Linked DNA regions of Caenorhabditis elegans. The protein of the gene in region 1 purifies or fractionates together with the protein of each later gene. This does not show direct contact. Each region holds a gene or a part of one and is shown on either strand. Other genes may lie near its edges.

Region 1 (7,833 bases):
TTCATCGATAAATTTTCGCACTGAAATTAATTTTTATTATGTACACAAACAATGTTTAAATTAAATACCTGATCTTGTTATATTATTGGAAACATCGTTTTTCACAATAACGCCGTTTTCGGAATGGTTTACCAACTCTCGAGCTAATGTTGATTTTCCGGATCCCGTAACTCCGCGAATTAAAATAATTGTGCGATGACCTTCGACAAGGCATTTTTGAATATCCGATATCTCAGCATCGAAATTAAAACACTGTTCATGCTTTCGTGGTGACATTGTTGGCTGATCACTGAAAACTTTTTTTCATAAAACGAGTGATAGATTTTTAATAATGATTTTTCAGGCTTGCGTCGTCTATCACGTGAAATTGGGGAGAGCAAGACGCAGAGATGGAAAGAAAACTGGGTAGAAGTCACAATCCACGCACACTTCGTGAAGACATATGAATTGTGGAAAAGGACGTGTTAAAGCCCGTCCCCTTTTTCAAAATGAAAGTTATGAAAATGTGTCGAAGTTTCGACACATTTTTTTTTCGCGAAACAATGTTTTAATTATGAATAAAGAAGGAATCTGGGCGCAATATATACAAAGCCGGTTATTAGACACCAGAGCTTTATTGTTGCTTTCATTTTCTACCGATGGGTCTAAAATACAGGAAAAAGGAAAATAAAACATAAAAAAACCATTTCAAAATCATAAAGTTTACACTTTTAAATTCAAAAAATAAACAAAAATGTGTTTCTGTGCAAACACTCGACGGCTTATGGTACCAATGCACCTGATTTGACGACGATTGATATTCCCGGCAATTCGAATTGCAAAGCGGAGCAGCTTGCTCTTTGTTTGCTTCATTTAAATAATATTTTATAACTCTTCACTTTTTCTAACAATTACTTTTTATAAAACATTAAAGTTCCGATAAACATTTACAGCTGTCACTCAATTAACCTATAACAATCCTGGATGGTGAGAGACTAGTATTTTAAAACATTTTTAATTGAATATATTATTCCAGGACGTTGGAATTGCGAGTACATCTAACACAAACGATGTGGAGTTTGACGATGGTATATATTATTGATTAACATTCACATGATAATGGTTTTCTTTCAGATTTCATCCGACATGCTCGTCACATGCCGATCAATAAATTAATTGAAGAGCTGGCAATGTTGGAACACGGTAAACCAGCTGTCAAGATTATCTTTTATTGATTTTATTTTAATTATTAAATTTAAATGTTTCAGACAATCATCCACTTTTACATACTGCTCGCCGGAACTTCGATAAAGATAGAAAAGTCCAGAAGGATCGAATTGAGTGCCATCGCGCGAGAGCCGAACTAAAAGGTATCTTTTGAATTGTTGAAAACTTTGAAAAGCTCAAAATACAAATTCTTTAGCAAAAAATGATTTCAATACAAGAAGTGCCGCAGATCAAGCAGAATGCACATTGCGGTTAACGGAATTGCTAGACGAATTCACGAAAAGGAGTGATGAAATGGACAAAACAGTTTTGCATGAATACGGAGTCATCGATATTCATAAACAACAGTCAGCTCCGCCTGTGTTCGAGTCCAACAAGAAAACTCTGCGAGGACGTGGAGGAGGACAGCTTGTTGAGCCAGTCACTTACTTCAATTCAAATCAGAATACTCGAATACCTGAATTCAAGCTGAATTTGTCTTTCGAAAATCCGAGAATTCGACAAGAGTTGGATATTATTATGAATCGGCCGAATTCGCGTCGAATCATTGTCTGTTCGGTATCGATTCAGAAACCGAAACTTGTGATCGATAACAAGTCATTCAAACACGGCGAAGATGTCTATGCGTATAACAGAATATTTGGAGAAATGCTCGCAAAACTCGAAATTGTCACCGATAAAATGATTAACTTGAAAGGGGCTAATGTAAGTTATCTGATGTTTCTACAATTAAAAAAATTGTTTTTTTTTCCAAATTAATTTTCGAAGATTAACGAAAAACGATTAAAAATCAATAAAACGCAATAAAGAGGGCTTGGCTTTCTTTTTAATTTAAATTATAATTTTTCTGATTGTTGTATGAAGCTACAAAATGTACTGTTTTTGTATTTGAATATTGTATTACAGGGTTGGGATTCTCGGCAAATATCAGCGACAGTGGAAGATTTAGAAGAAGGACGTGTGACAATCACTAAGCAAAGAGGAAAGGATAAAGGATTGTGATATTTCACTGTTTTACTCATTCGCTTTTTAAATAAGAACTATATGCCGATTTGCCGATATATTTTTGTTTATTAGGCCTCTCACATTCCTGTACAATGTTTCTACCAAATAAACTGCATTTTTATCTGAAAATTCGAATTTATTTTTGTCTACTTTTTACTCGTTGCATTCGAGATCAGCATATCTTCCGGTCTATTTATATTCAACGATTTTTATAAATTAGTACTCCTTCATGTTTAATTTCATTTTATCTGTAAGCTTTACTGTATTTTTTTAAAATCTTTCTTGCTTCTATCTGATTATACAATGTTCTTTACTCATTTTCAAGGTATTTTTATGCCTCACAATTTATGCACATTTCGGGCTTGGAGATTTATCCTCTATATTACATGCCTGTTTTTTTAAAGTGTATATAATGTTTAACAAATAATTTTTTATCAATGCTATTGTATATTCTCCAGCTAACCGTTGTTTCGAAAACATCACCTAGCATTTTAAAATTCACAAAATCTTGCTTCCTTATAATCAAGAAGATTTTTCAGATGCTCTGCGAAATCGAATGCCGCGCTTTGAGCACGGCACACACGAGGCTCATCCACGACTTTGAACCACGTGACGCATTGACTTATTTAGAAGGCAAAAACATTTTCACAGAAGATCATTCTGAACTTATCAGTAAAATGTCAACTCGCCTCGAGAGGATCGCCAATTTTCTTCGAATCTATCGACGTCAAGCTTCTGAACTTGGACCACTCATCGACTTTTTCAACTACAACAATCAAAGTCACCTTGCTGATTTCCTCGAAGACTACATCGATTTTGCGATAAATGAGCCAGATCTACTTCGTCCAGTAGTGATTGCTCCACAATTTTCCCGACAAATGCTCGATAGGAAACTATTGCTTGGGAATGTTCCAAAACAAATGACATGCTATATTCGAGAGTATCACGTGGATCGAGTGATCAAAAAGCTCGACGAGATGTGTGATTTAGGTGAGAAAACTGGAAGCTCTCGTGTTTATTATAATCTTGCTTAAACTTCAGACTCCTTTTTTCTGTTTCTACACGGCCGAGCTGGATCCGGAAAATCAGTAATTGCATCACAAGCTCTTTCGAAATCTGACCAACTTATTGGAATGTGAGTGGTATTATCTGAATCCTACGGATCTTCATTCTATTACAGAAATTATGATTCAATCGTTTGGCTCAAAGATAGTGGAACAGCTCCAAAATCTACATTCGATTTATTTACGGATATTTTGCTGATGCTAAAGTGAGTGAATAGAGTGCATGTAACATTCAGCATGATTTTGAAATTATGAAAATTTGACCTGGTTAGCTTTTAATTTGATATTTCGTGACGCTTGCATGTTTTGTGTGTTTGAAGACGAGCCCGTGTTGTGAGCGACACGGATGACTCGCATTCGATCACCGACTTCATTAACCGTGTTCTTTCAAGAAGCGAAGACGATCTTCTCAATTTCCCATCGGTGGAGCATGTCACGTCAGTTGTACTCAAAAGGATGGTAAGTTGCTTGCCGATTCTGGTACAATATCTTAAATTATTGGTTTTTAGATCTGCAACGCACTCATTGATCGTCCAAATACTTTATTCGTATTTGATGACGTAGTTCAAGAAGAAACAATTCGTTGGGCTCAGGAGCTACGTCTTCGATGTCTTGTAACTACTCGTGACGTGGAAATATCAAATGCTGCTTCTCAAACATGCGAATTCATTGAAGTGACATCATTGGAAATCGATGAATGTTATGATTTTCTAGAAGCTTATGGAATGCCGATGCCTGTTGGAGAAAAAGAAGAAGATGTGCTTAATAAAACAATCGAACTAAGCAGTGGAAATCCAGCAACGCTTATGATGTTTTTCAAGTCTTGTGAACCGAAAACATTTGAAAAGTGAGTGGGACATACCAATTTGAGACTTTTAAAATAATTTATTCTACAATAAAAGTTAATCAAAAAGTTTCATAGCTGATTGTCTTTAAATTTTACGAATTGAGGATCAAAATCAAGAATTAGGATCCTGGCACGAGAGAAAACTGTGTAGCTACCGTACCCGAGAGATTTTCTTGATATTTGCCATCGATTTAATTTTTTAAGAAAATTATCGTTTTACATAATTGAACAAGAGATACACGGTCTCGACCCGACGGAAATTTTTTAAATGAAAGCGAGTATGAGCCTGTTTTCATTATTTTTCGATTTTCTCTTGTTGTTTCTTTTTATTTAAAGCCTTTTATTTTGAAACAAGTCTAAAAATATTAAAAACTGAATAAAATATTTAAAAAAAATCAAGTAAAATAGAAAAACAGCAAGGCTGGAGACTACTGTACTTCTTAAATCCGCATACTCTTTTTATTTAATCATTTTCCGGAATGTCGAAACGAAATAATACATTTTTAGTCCAAAATCGCTAGGTATATTCTTAAAATTATCAAACATTTTGCATTCAGAATGGCACAGCTTAATAACAAATTGGAAAGTCGAGGATTAGTCGGTGTTGAATGTATCACCCCTTACTCGTACAAGTCACTCGCAATGGCTCTTCAAAGATGTGTTGAAGTTTTGTCAGATGAGGATCGAAGTGCTCTTGCTTTCGCAGTTGTGATGCCTCCTGGAGTTGATATACCCGTCAAGCTATGGTCATGTGTTATTCCAGTTGATATTTGTTCAAATGAAGAAGAACAATTGGATGATGAAGTTGCGGATCGGTTGAAAAGACTCAGCAAGTATGAGTCTTGAAATTTGAAGATTTAAATTAACACTTAAAATTTCAGACGTGGAGCTCTTCTCAGTGGAAAACGAATGCCCGTTTTGACATTCAAAATTGATCATATTATCCATATGTTCTTGAAACACGTCGTTGATGCACAAACTATCGCCGTATGCTGAAAATGTCTCAACTTTCAATTAAATTTTAAATTTTCAGAATGGAATCTCAATTCTCGAGCAGCGTCTTCTTGAAATAGGAAACAATAATGTATCAGTACCGGAGCGACATATACCATCACATTTCCAAAAATTCCGTCGTTCATCAGCCAGTGAGATGTATCCAAAAACTACAGAAGAAACTGTGATCCGTCCTGAAGACTTCCCAAAGTTCATGCAATTGCACCAGAAATTCTATGACTCCCTCAAAAATTTTGCATGCTGTTAAAACCTATCGTGTACAATATTGCCTGTATATTCCCCTCGAAATACGTTTATACTTTTTCGCACGAGTTTTCTCATTTTTTCATTTGTACTTGTTTTATTTCTCTCCAAAATTTCAGATCTATCCCAAATGTTCTTAAATTTAATGTTTTCTACAGATACTCAACACATCTTGTTTCATCTCATCCTTGCTTTTTTTTTTCAAATATATTCAGTTTCTTTTATAATTTTAATTAATCGAATTAATACATTCACGTAAAGAATTTCGTGGACTATTATTTTATCGCATCCAAATGATTTATTCCCTATTGTTCGAAACTTCCAAATTGATCATTTTTAAACACGCCTCATTAAATTGAAAGTCGTACTTTTAGTCTCGAACATGAAGTAAGTTATTTTCTGTGTTCTAAATTCAAAGTGCATTCCAAAAGGACATTTGATGAGTTTTCACGAAAACCGTAATTTTTACAATTTCCTTTCAGTTTTGAAGATGTTCGATTTCTTTCCTCTGTTGGCGTCATTACTACATTTGCTTTGCTGCTTCACTTTATCGAGATTCTTGCCATCAATGGAGTTCCATCTAGACCGATAGCAGTCTTCATATCATTATCCCTGTATATTGTACTGTTTCAGTATTTTAACTTATCGATTACGTACTATTTTCAGTGGTTCACTGTTTTCGGTCAATGGGTGACACGTGCTCGACGAGCAATTTTCAACGAACGCAATCTCCTAGTCACTTATCAACCAAGAGCCCTCACCCATGGACATCTCTTTGTGGTATTTGCATGATTCAACGAAGTTTTAGTCTTAAGATTCATGATTTCAGCCAGATCCGCCGACGCCTTGTCGTCTGTCCATTACACCATGTGAATCGGGAAGTGACACGGAGTTCAAGAATGCACGGGATGCTCATTACAAAGATGAATTTCATAGAGCGATTAAAATGGCAAACGAACGACTAGTAATTCGACAAGAGGTTCAAATATTATTTATTTACATTTTTAATACTGGAAATGCTTTCAGAGTACCCAAATCATGAGAATGGAATTCAATACTGATACAAGCTCGCCACCAACATCTCCGGACAAGTCAGAAAAATCACCCGAATTCTTCTAAGATTGACTTCAATAAAATTATTATTTTTCGTTTTGTTGTTAGATATACCATTTTAAACAGTTTCGGTCTGAAAATATCGGAATGTTGGTCTTCTTCTTTCATTCTTATTTACTATTTCAGGCGAGAAATCATGCACCAAAATAACGGAGATTATCGGGTAAATAATAATAAATGTTTACTAAAAGCTACAGTACTTTTGCATCCTTCAAGGGAGGTGCATTCATGCGGAAGAGTCTCGCAGCGAAAACGCGATAGCGCTTACTGTAGAATTTCAGTTTGGAAGATTCGAGTTTTTTGGGCCTCCATTTTTCCTTCTTTTATTGAATTTTCTCAGTTTCTTCGGCAAGGTTCATTAAGTACAGTTAGCCATCAATTTTTCTATTATTATGTTCATTCTGAATGAATGCACACGCTTTCGAAAAGAGATAAGAACATTTATTTCAATTACTCTGCAGGAAGGTAGAATCAATGCAAGTGAAAGCGCGCGAAACATGTGTTTTCAAAATCTATGACGAAATCTCTATGTTCTAGGTGTGGAAACCCGCAGTTTCTTTTAAACAAAAGTTAATATTGTTGTTTTATTAACACCCCCTTTGAAATTTAACTCGGTCTACCCATTTTCCTACACGACTTTGCTTCTTTTTGTTAATTTTTCTGATTTTTTAGCATTCAAGAGAGCCAGTTAACATTTTTAAAACTATTTGGTATCTATAGTTTTTTCCAAACAAATATTCTCATCGTGTAAAAAATTTTCTCATTGAATTCTAAAGCTTTGATGTTTTTCAGGTCAGAGGATCTCGTCCATCGAGAAGTTCTGAGCACGCCGGCCCTTCTCTCCACTGCAAGAAGCCCGAAGGTTCCATTAGAGATACTCTTCGACTGTCTGGCAGCTTCAAAATCTACAAAGAGCCTATGCCGGAACTGGTATGTGACATACACTTGGAAAAGCTTGCGGAAAACATCCAAAAGTATTCGAAAATCGAAGAAAGGAAATACAGAGAAAACGATATGCATGTGAATGACGATTCACATAGTTCCGATAGTAGACCCACATCGGATAATGAAGTTAGCTCGAGCTCTGACAGAAATAACGATGAACCAAGTGTGCGGAGAAAGAGAAAATCCGTCGAGAATATGTGTCATGAACGAGAGCACCACGGGGATCATTTACAGATGCAAGTAGCTTCAGTGATTGCATCGAACCTGGGACCCATGGTGGAGATTGTGGAAAAGAAGCTCTTGCAACACAAAAATGCGGAAAAACTTTTGGTAAGCAACTGGAGTAAACTTGATTACTGAATATTTCTTTTTCAGAACGATGGCCGGGAAGTTTTC
Region 2 (4,724 bases), on another chromosome or scaffold:
ACTTTTGAGAAGTACAAATTTAGTTTTGAGAAGTTCATATCAGCTGTTTAATTTTTAGAAACATTTCTTCAAAAAAATCGATTTATTCAAGTTATAAAATGCTTGAGATTGCATCTTTGAACGCCCGAGTTCCTTGATGAATTTGGGCAGATGTGTTCTGGATTTGTTCAAATGAAACAGGATCTACTGAAAATAAATTGTTGAATTAGTTTGAAATATTTTTAGAAATTGTTACCTCTGTTCAAATCTGTCAAAAGACTATCCCGATTCACATCAGCAAAACAATGTCGAAAATTGATTGGAACTGCTTCCGTTATGCATTTATAGAATAAAATGGATAAAAGTGGTTCATCGAAATTGCATGATTGAAACGATCGTGATACCAATTGAACAAGGAAACTAAATGAATTCAGAATGTTTCTGGAAATATCACATTTTTAGTTATTTCAGAATTAAGTTATAATACCTGTATGGGTTCAAATTGACATGTTGCTCACACTCCATAAACTCCAAAAATGGTTGCTCACTCAAATCAATATGGACCTAAGATATATATTTTTTAATTATGTCTTTGTTTTAATAAAACAAACCATATTTGGCAGAAACAGTCTATCTAGTTGGATTCCACCTTTTGTAGCAGTCAAAACACATGCTTCAAAGACAAAAACCAATAGGAATATGTCACCGAGTGGGTCGCTCTGTAAAGTTAATTTTCATATTAGTTAGTTGAAAATTATTACCATGAAATTATTATCCAAGCTCCCAAAGTGTGCGTAAAAATGTTCGATAACTTGCATGATCAAGGGAGATCCAGTTGATATTCTTCGCATAATTTCGTATTCTTGGTGGAGAGAAATTTTCAAGTTTGTACGAGTTGTTGATCGGGAAATCTGAAATTAATTGAAAAATTTAAATTAATGTAGAGAGAAGAAGAGAATACCTAGATTTATTCTACTTACAACAGATTTTTCAAATATTGAATAAACCGTTATTTATTCAAGATTATTCCATAATCTTAGTAAATATGAGTTAAGCTCTTATTTACCCTTAAAATCTCAATTCTTTCAAATCTCTACGTACCAAATCGAAAATCGGCCTTTCAGCTGCAATACTTCTGCGAAAAGCAATAATTTGATCGATTAGTAGAATGGAACTTTGATTCATATTTCGGTAAAGAGACGTGACATTTTGTTGTGATGAAGAAGTTCTTTTGGCTTTTACGTCTGGAAATTTGAAAATTTGATATTATTTTGAATATATAAATTACCTTGAGGCATCATTCCACTGCTCACACACTTCAAAAATCTGCAGAATCTGCAGCTTCCACCTCTCTTTGTTGGATCTTTAATTCTTTTTGTTACATTTATATTTTGTTCAACTTTAGATTACCGTGTACAATACTACATTGTCTATTAGAACATGAGTATACTTTTTGATCAGAAACACTGCGTCGGAAGAATGCACCACATGCAGCACAGCTTATTGCTCCAAAATGATATCCTTCGGCTTTATCCGAGCAAATTGAGCAGATCATCTCTTGAGGTGCTGAGCTGGAATTAAATTATGAATTGAGGGTTAGAAGGTGGAGATTTTGAAAATCTATTTTAATTCTTTTTTGTGTATTTTTAAAGCAAATACCGAGTAAAATGAAGAATAGAATGTGAGAATTAGATTGAACAGATATGTTATAGAGTGAACAAAAGCAACTGGATTCAGCCGTGAGAGCCTGCCTACATGGCTAAGTTTGCAAACCGGCAGGCTTTTTGACCCATTTTAAAATTGAATTAAACCTTTTTTTCAAATGTAAATTTTTGAAACTGATGCTCTTTCCAGATTTTATTGCAATCAGCTTGTAATCAATGTCATATTGTTGGAAATATAATATCACTTTGCAAAAAAAATATCATAAAACTATTCGATATTAAAACCATCTAAACATACATATTTGTGTTATTTTTCTAATTATATTTTCATTTCTCTTTTCATCGACGCTTTTCCTTGTGGAATAACCACTGAAAATAACTAAAACTATTACAAAACTCAAACAAAATCCTAATTCCAATTTCTGATAAAAACACATAGACCTACCTGTTCCACACTACTTGACTGTCATCCATCATCCAGTAACACTGATTATCAAAGCTTGAACAGTATAGACTCATGTAAGGTCACCTCAATAACTTAGAAGCTCAAATTTGCTTTATTTTGCTCAAAGTTCGAAGTGAAATAGATAAGTCTACAAATTTTTATACTACATCTGATAATCTTGGATAACAAGGTTCAGTTGCCTCCTCCTCTTCTTATCTCCATCTGATAAGCTTTTTGGGAGGGGTTTTCAGATTGAAGATGAGTGAAGAAGGTTTTAAAATACTTTTTAAAACTGGAATGACACACAGATTTGGACCCAATACGTACCAGATGCTGATTCATACTAATGAAGTTGTCTAGTATGAAGAAGCTTTTTGGTTTAAAATGATTGCGATTATGTGACGAAACGATAAACATATGTTTTAAGAGGATAAGGCTAGAAGAAGGAAGTTAATCTATTTTTGTATGATAACAGTGTTTTGTCACCTGTTTCATGTTGAAAATATCATTAGAATGCTCAACTTATTGATGACTTCGCAATTAAAAGAGGTGCATCCGAAAATAATTCACATATTCAAATGAAAACAAAAATAATTTCTTTCCGCTAATTTTGGGATTTTCACCTCGATTCCACATGAACAAAATTTTTCAAACCCGTGGGTCTAAATTTCGAGCAAGGAAAGAGTGCGCGTTTGAATGCTACAGTAACCCGCTCCGTTGCGGAATTCTTTGATTTTTCTGTTTCTTTTTCTTTTAGAACACTTTCACAGTGAAATCAAGCAATTTATACGCGATATTAAAAAAAAAGAATATTTTTAAATAATCTTTTATGCTTTTAAAAATATGTTTAAAAACGTGAAAATATATTTACGAGAACGTGAAAAACAGAAATATGAGTTTTGGAGTAGCATTTTGCATTATTCACGTGACCTCGGTTAAAGAAGCGCTTTTGCCACGTTTCACTGTCGATTTTTAATCGAAGGGCTCACTTTAGAATCAGTTCCGGTTTTCAACCGCTTGGATATCCAGCAGCACTACTGCAAGCATGACTGGAGGTAAGTAAATCTTAATCGATATTTCTGGTTTTAATTTAATATTTGTATTCTTTCAGGAGGAGATTCAAAGCCTATTGAAAAGAAGAAGGAGGATAAGAAAGGTTTCGATACCCGAAAATTCTTGATTGATCTCGCCTCGGGAGGAACTGCTGCCGCTGTCTCCAAGACTGCTGTGGCTCCGATTGAACGTGTCAAGCTTCTTTTGCAAGTACAGGATGCTTCCCTAACTATCGCCGCCGATAAACGTTACAAAGGAATCGTCGATGTCCTCGTTCGTGTCCCGAAAGAGCAAGGATATGCTGCTCTCTGGAGAGGAAACTTGGCCAATGTCATCCGATACTTCCCAACCCAGGCGCTGAACTTCGCATTCAAGGATACATACAAAAACATTTTCCAAAAGGGATTGGACAAGAAGAAGGATTTTTGGAAGTTCTTCGCCGGGAATCTCGCTTCTGGTGGAGCTGCCGGAGCAACTTCTCTCTGCTTCGTCTACCCATTGGATTTCGCTCGTACCCGCTTGGCTGCTGACGTCGGAAAAGCTAATGAACGTGAATTCAAAGGTCTGGCTGATTGTCTCGTCAAGATTGCAAAATCGGATGGTCCAATCGGACTCTACAGGTATTTTTTCCATTTTTATAATATAAGCAAACATTAATTTTCAGAGGATTCTTTGTTTCTGTACAAGGTATCATCATCTACCGTGCCGCTTACTTCGGAATGTTCGACACTGCCAAGATGGTATTCACTGCTGATGGCAAGAAACTCAACTTCTTCGCCGCCTGGGCTATTGCTCAAGTCGTCACCGTCGGATCTGGAATCATTTCCTATCCATGGGATACTGTTCGCCGTCGCATGATGATGCAGTCTGGTCGCAAAGATGTTCTCTACAAGAATACCTTGGATTGTGCTGTCAAGATCATCAAAAACGAAGGAATGTCTGCCATGTTCAAGGGAGCTCTGTCGAATGTGTTCCGTGGAACTGGTGGAGCACTCGTTCTGGCCATCTACGATGAAATCCAGAAGTTCATTTAAAGTCTTGAATTGTTTTTGTAATTTTAGTAAAATTATTTTAATTGAAATCTTCTATTTGTTACTCAACAAACTAAACACAGCGTCTCAATCTCTTCATTCAGAAAATATTTTTCTTTAGCATTTTCAGTATCGAACATTCTCATGCAATTTAACAAGGTAACTTCAATGAATCAACTGAGTTCTAGTTAGAATCGCATCATTTTGCAAACAAAATCCTCAAGCTTCCTTTTTCTAGAGAGATCCTCTTATCTCCTCTTGGCCGTTTCGTCACATAGTCACAATCATTTTAAACCTAAAAGCTCTTTTTATAAATACTATTAGTGTGATTCAGCAAATTGATATGGTCTAAAGCTGTGTCTTTCCAAATTCAACATTATTTGTCTTCAAGAAAAATTGCGGTTTTTTTTCACTTCTGTAAATTTCAACTTTTCTGGAATGCTAATTCGGAACAACATATCACGGAAGATTTACTCGCGAAACCCGTATCAATAAATCACGGAAGAAAAAGAATTTCACAGAAACTCTAATAACTAATATTCACAAAAATTA
Region 3 (5,121 bases), on another chromosome or scaffold:
CATCGTCGTCTAGCTCCAGCTTGGAACAGGAAACACTTTTGAAACCAGAGGATGTGGAAGCAGTTGTTCAGACTCCAATTGTACCCAAAAAATCATTGGAAATGATGGTTGAAGAGAAAAAAGTTGGAAGTTTGGATGATTTTATCACCCTTCGGTGGTACTGTATGCTGGTACTGCTCATGGCAGAATTGACAGCTTTCACAGCAACTGCAAGCAGTAAAGTCATGGTTTTTGCAGGTATTCATGATTTAGATTGCTCGGTTGTTTGAGTTTTAAAATAATGTATGGGTAGTTTGATCGGCAAGCTATGCGTAGATATTTCTCATGGCGGGTTTCTTCATGCCTATAGGCAAGCGGATAGGCTCTAAATGGAGTTGCTTCATCAAAAAATGTTCATCTTTCTTGAACCCTTTGCAATTTTCAAACTAATGATCCGAAAACTAGTTATTAGAATCATCTTTGTATTTATTTCATGTCTAATGGTAAACAGTCCACCTGTCAGGTCAGAAGAAGTGATTATGACAGATTGAGTATGAAAACCGTCAGATTCACGTGAAATGATAGTCCAAGGTAACACGAGAAAGTAATTAAAAGGGTGGGTCTATTGATCTCGCCTGGTTTTTGCGGCTACAGTGTTCTCTACTAGTGCTAAAACGATAAAAATCATAATAAAACTAACTTTTCGAAAGCTTTTTGAAACGCTTTATTTACAATAAAATTTTGGCGAAAATCCAGTGCCCTCTCATAATTTAGTAAATTGACCAAAGAAAAGTTTTCTACGAGTTCCTGAAATTACTCAAATACCCCAAATTTTTCACAAAATTTGGCAATTTACTAAATTATGGATAAAACTTTTGAAAAATCTGAAAATTGTATTCGGTTGTTTTAGACGATAAAAAGTGTAATTTGACTGAATCCTCACTGATAATACAACATTTAGAAAAATTTAAAAGAGTAAACAACGAGTTTTTGTTTATTTCATCTACAAAAAGAGTTCTTATCAAAACGTTCGAAGTTCCTATAAGACAATCAATCATAAAACTATCAATTTTAGGTGCAAATCCTGCTGTCATCGGATGTGGAGGAACACCGCTAAACGGATGTCACGAATTGGCAGCATTTCGGAATGAGACCAATCTATGTGAACCTGATCTTAGATATCAGTTTAAATCAGTTCAAGTAGAGGTAGGTATAAAATAAAAATCTCAGTAAAGTAAGGAATTAGATATGAATAGTGAAGGCAACCGATTATACACTCAAACGAACAATTTAATTCAGTTCAATTATATATGCGAAGATGCTAAAAAAGTAAAGAATACGATCACAGTTCAAACGTTCGGTGTCCTTGTTGGAGCAGCCATTTTTGGACAAGTTTCAGACACATTTGGAAGACGTAAAGCTTTACTTATTTCTACATTGGGAAATGGACTATTTAATTGGATCACTGCGTATTCTCCTGATTTGTTTTATTTTATGGTTTGGAGAACTTTGGCTGGAGTTTTCACAGGAGGGGTTACTGTGTAAGTTCCTTTATTCATTTTTCAGAACAAAAATAACTATGAATTAAACTTTTAAGTGTTCAAATGGTTTTTATGGTCGAAAATATTCCACGCAAGGATCGTATGTGGATTCAAAACTCAATCACATGGTCTCCAAATCTAATTCTATTCCCATTCGTTGCATGGCTTTGTCAAGATTGGAGAACAATGTCCGTTGTTATTGCAGCTTCTTCTATTGCAACATTTTTAGCTTGTTTGTAAGTTTTACCGATACTTGTTATATTTCAAAGCTCCTATCGTAAAATTTCAGAATTCTTGAAGAGTCTCCACGTTGGCTCATTCAAAAAGGACGAATTGAAGAAGCTCGTAAATCACTTATTAGAATTCGAAAGACCGATAAATTATACGATGAGACGTTTGAAAAACAGCTCGATGAAGTGCTTCATGTTGAAGCTGAAAAACACGCAAGAAGCTCGAAAAAAGCGAAGAAGTACACATTTATTCATTTGTTCTGCACATGGAAAATGATTGCACAATCCCTAACTTTTATTACTGGAATGTGAGTTTGAAAAATATATATTTCTGGTTTTATTTTTTATTACAGAACATGTACAACATTTATTGTATATTCATTGATGTACAACATGGAAAAGCTATCTGGATCTTTGTACTGGAATCTTGCAATTATGGGGGTAAGAGTACCTATACAGATTTCCTATTTACCTTATCAATTCTAGGCTTCTCGCTGGATTATAAACATTGCTGTGAGCATAGCTGACTACAAACTTCCATGGTTTGGAAGAAAAATGATCAACCAAATTGCAATGATATGTACACTTTTCGCGCTTCTCATGATTGCCGTTTATCTCTATTTTGGATATAATGGACAATTAATTGCAATCGGAACTGTGGCTGCTGTTTCCATGTGCTCACAACTTTTCATTGCCAAATATATGATGGTTAATGAGCTTTATCCAACTGCCGTCAGAAACTTAGCAGTTTCCGCTGTTTCAACCATGAGCAGAATTGGAAGCATGTTCTCACCACAATTGTTTTATTTGGTAAGCATTTTGTATACTCATCTAAAAATAAGCCTCGAAATTCAGAGTGACTATGCCGAATGGATTCCCTACGCAGTACTATTCTCCTGCCAACTTTATGATTTCATTGTTTTATCTTTATTCCTACCAGAAACAAAAGGAGTTATCTTGGAAAACCATTTACCTCCAAAACATAAAAGAATCTTTGGAAAACGTTCATGATGATGTATTTTCTTTGTATATAAATGTATTAAAATCATTAATTTGTTTCAAACAATGTTGATATCAAATATTAATTTAAGTTTCCTATACTCATCAAAAGATAATTTATTCATCATGGAAAAATGGAAAAGAAAAAACACATAACCGGTTATGATATTTACACGATGAATAGGTTAAAATAAACTCGGCCCGACAGAGCACGAGCTTAAGTGAAAGGGGTAGAGATCAGAATTTAGGTATTTGACAATCAATAAGGGAAAGGAATTGTGATGGGGATAGGAAAAAAACTAGAGTTTCGTACAATGCTGTTCCATATTGGCACGGGAGAAAAAGCTACGACATTTAAGATTTTTAATTTTAAGGAACATTGGACGACGAGACGAGCTAGAAAGCGTAACAAAGTCACTGCTTTGTGGGAAGTGCGCTGAGCCTATGAGGATCTTGTATAGCAGAAATAGTTGGGCTTTGAGGCGGAGAGAGCGAGCTGATGAAATTCCTAGAATTTTTAGGTGGTTTTCGTAGGATTTGGAGAAAGCATTGTGTGTTTGTGGAGCAAAATAGTTTTACATAAACTGTGGAAAATCGGTGAAAAAAGAAGAAAAAGAAAGATGAGTTTTGAAGTGCCATTCAAATTTTCCACGTGACCTCGGTCGAATATATGCGTCTGCCACGTTTCACTGTCGATTATTCACCGAAGAACTCACTTTATAATCAGTTCCGGTTTTCAACCGCTTGGTTATCCAGCAGCACTACTGCAAGCATGTCTGGAGGTAAGTGCATCTATTTCTATTCAGGAAATTATATATTTCTGGTGTTAATTCAAGATTATTCCAGGTGGAGATTCAAAGCCTATCGATAAGAAGAAGGAGGACAAGAAAGGTTTCGATACTCGAAAATTCTTGATTGATCTGGCCTCGGGAGGAACTGCTGCCGCTGTTTCCAAGACTGCTGTTGCTCCGATTGAACGTGTCAAGCTTCTGTTGCAAGTACAGGATGCTTCCCTCACCATTGCTGCCGATAAACGTTACAAAGGAATCGTCGATGTCCTCGTTCGTGTCCCAAAGGAGCAAGGATATGCTGCTCTCTGGAGAGGAAACTTGGCTAACGTCATCCGATACTTCCCGACCCAGGCGCTGAACTTCGCTTTCAAGGATACTTACAAAAACATTTTCCAAAAGGGATTGGATAAGAAGAAGGATTTCTGGAAGTTCTTCGCCGGAAATCTAGCTTCTGGTGGAGCAGCTGGAGCCACTTCGCTCTGTTTTGTCTACCCATTGGATTTTGCTCGTACCCGTTTGGCTGCTGATGTCGGAAAAGCTAATGAACGTGAATTCAAAGGCCTGGCCGATTGTCTCGTCAAGATCGCAAAGTCGGATGGACCAATCGGACTCTACAGGTATTTTTTCTATTTAGAAAATTTAAAAAATTATTATTTTTTCAGAGGTTTCTTTGTCTCGGTACAAGGTATCATCATCTACCGCGCCGCTTACTTCGGAATGTTCGACACTGCCAAGATGGTGTTCACTGCTGATGGCAAGAAACTCAACTTCTTCGCTGCCTGGGCTATTGCTCAAGTGGTTACTGTTGGATCTGGAATCCTCTCCTATCCATGGGATACTGTTCGTCGTCGCATGATGATGCAGTCTGGTCGCAAAGATGTTCTCTACAAGAATACTTTGGATTGTGCCGTCAAGATCATCAAAAACGAAGGAATGTCCGCCATGTTCAAGGGAGCCCTGTCAAATGTATTCCGTGGAACTGGTGGAGCACTCGTTCTTGCCATCTACGATGAAATCCAAAAGTTCATTTAATGATCTTCAATTGTTTTTGTATTTTTATTTAGTAAAATTATTTTAATTGAAATCGTTTTGTTACTCAAAAAGAGAAACTCTTTTCATGAAAAAATCAATGAACTACGGTCATTTTTGGTCTCTCTGAACAATGAGGAAACCAATGAGGAAAAACAATGTACTTATTTGATATTTAAAATAACCTACGATCTAGACTATTTCTCAATTTTATTTAATTACCAGTTAGTCAAAATTAGGGTTTCCATCAATTTAGCTCTGAAATTGAGCTTGTGAGCCAAAACTGTTCCGATATTGGCAGAAAAACGTTTATTCGTATAAATACTGTAGAAACTTGGAAAAATAATCGAAAAAAAATCACAAAAAATAGACCCGAAGGAATTAAAATAGCATTATTTCCAACCCGGGATGATTGCACCGAGGAAATGGGAGAGAAGGTAGACGACAACGAGCAGGAGCACGATCAGCGCGATGCACGTAACGATCTTCCATTTACGGTTCTTCCGACGCAGCACAACAGCCTGCCGCACGTTCTGCTGGGCTTGCTCCGCA

The links.
Region 2: the proteins of ced-4 (region 1) and ant-1.3 purify together in Caenorhabditis elegans (affinity purification with mass spectrometry, with the first as the bait; one study listed by BioGRID). This does not show direct contact.
Region 3: the proteins of ced-4 (region 1) and ant-1.4 purify together in Caenorhabditis elegans (affinity purification with mass spectrometry, with the first as the bait; one study listed by BioGRID). This does not show direct contact.

What each region holds. Positions count from the first base shown.
Region 1 is NC_003281.10:4,849,575-4,857,407, forward strand, and holds ced-4 (Cell death protein 4), read left to right. Parts: upstream 1-2,750; coding exon 2,751-3,201; intron 3,202-3,252; coding exon 3,253-3,346; intron 3,347-3,391; coding exon 3,392-3,479; coding exon of another isoform or gene 3,480-3,481; intron 3,482-3,599; coding exon 3,600-3,734; intron 3,735-3,784; coding exon 3,785-4,122; intron 4,123-4,679; coding exon 4,680-4,955; intron 4,956-5,003; coding exon 5,004-5,109; intron 5,110-5,155; coding exon 5,156-5,383; downstream 5,384-7,833. Other genes in the region: nonu-1 (Smr domain-containing protein), read right to left, coding at 1-20, 69-276; F26A1.1 (Non-structural maintenance of chromosomes element 4), read left to right, coding at 964-966, 1,016-1,067, 1,114-1,182, 1,248-1,349, 1,403-1,911, 2,113-2,208; C35D10.8 (PH domain-containing protein), read left to right, coding at 5,762-5,766, 5,862-6,000, 6,046-6,159, 6,209-6,358, 6,406-6,498; C35D10.7 (ULP_PROTEASE domain-containing protein), read left to right, coding at 6,629-6,655, 7,285-7,767, 7,813-7,833. UniProt on the Caenorhabditis elegans protein: Component of the egl-1, ced-9, ced-4 and ced-3 apoptotic signaling cascade required for the initiation of programmed cell death in cells fated to die during embryonic and postembryonic development.
Region 2 is NC_003282.8:9,707,668-9,712,391, reverse strand, and holds ant-1.3 (ADP/ATP translocase), read left to right. Parts: upstream 1-3,086; 5' UTR 3,087-3,133; coding exon 3,134-3,143; intron 3,144-3,199; coding exon 3,200-3,761; intron 3,762-3,805; coding exon 3,806-4,175; 3' UTR 4,176-4,224; downstream 4,225-4,724. Other genes in the region: nhr-38 (Nuclear receptor domain-containing protein), read right to left, coding at 92-186, 236-420, 467-543, 591-698, 741-890, 1,081-1,223, 1,268-1,342, 1,390-1,550 and 1 more.
Region 3 is NC_003282.8:8,458,678-8,463,798, reverse strand, and holds ant-1.4 (ADP/ATP translocase), read left to right. Parts: upstream 1-3,490; 5' UTR 3,491-3,521; coding exon 3,522-3,531; intron 3,532-3,595; coding exon 3,596-4,157; intron 4,158-4,202; coding exon 4,203-4,572; 3' UTR 4,573-4,621; downstream 4,622-5,121. Other genes in the region: str-176 (Major facilitator superfamily (MFS) profile domain-containing protein), read left to right, coding at 1-237, 1,055-1,185, 1,279-1,520, 1,577-1,756, 1,810-2,058, 2,104-2,191, 2,237-2,560, 2,606-2,761; syx-4 (Putative syntaxin-4), read right to left, coding at 4,962-5,121.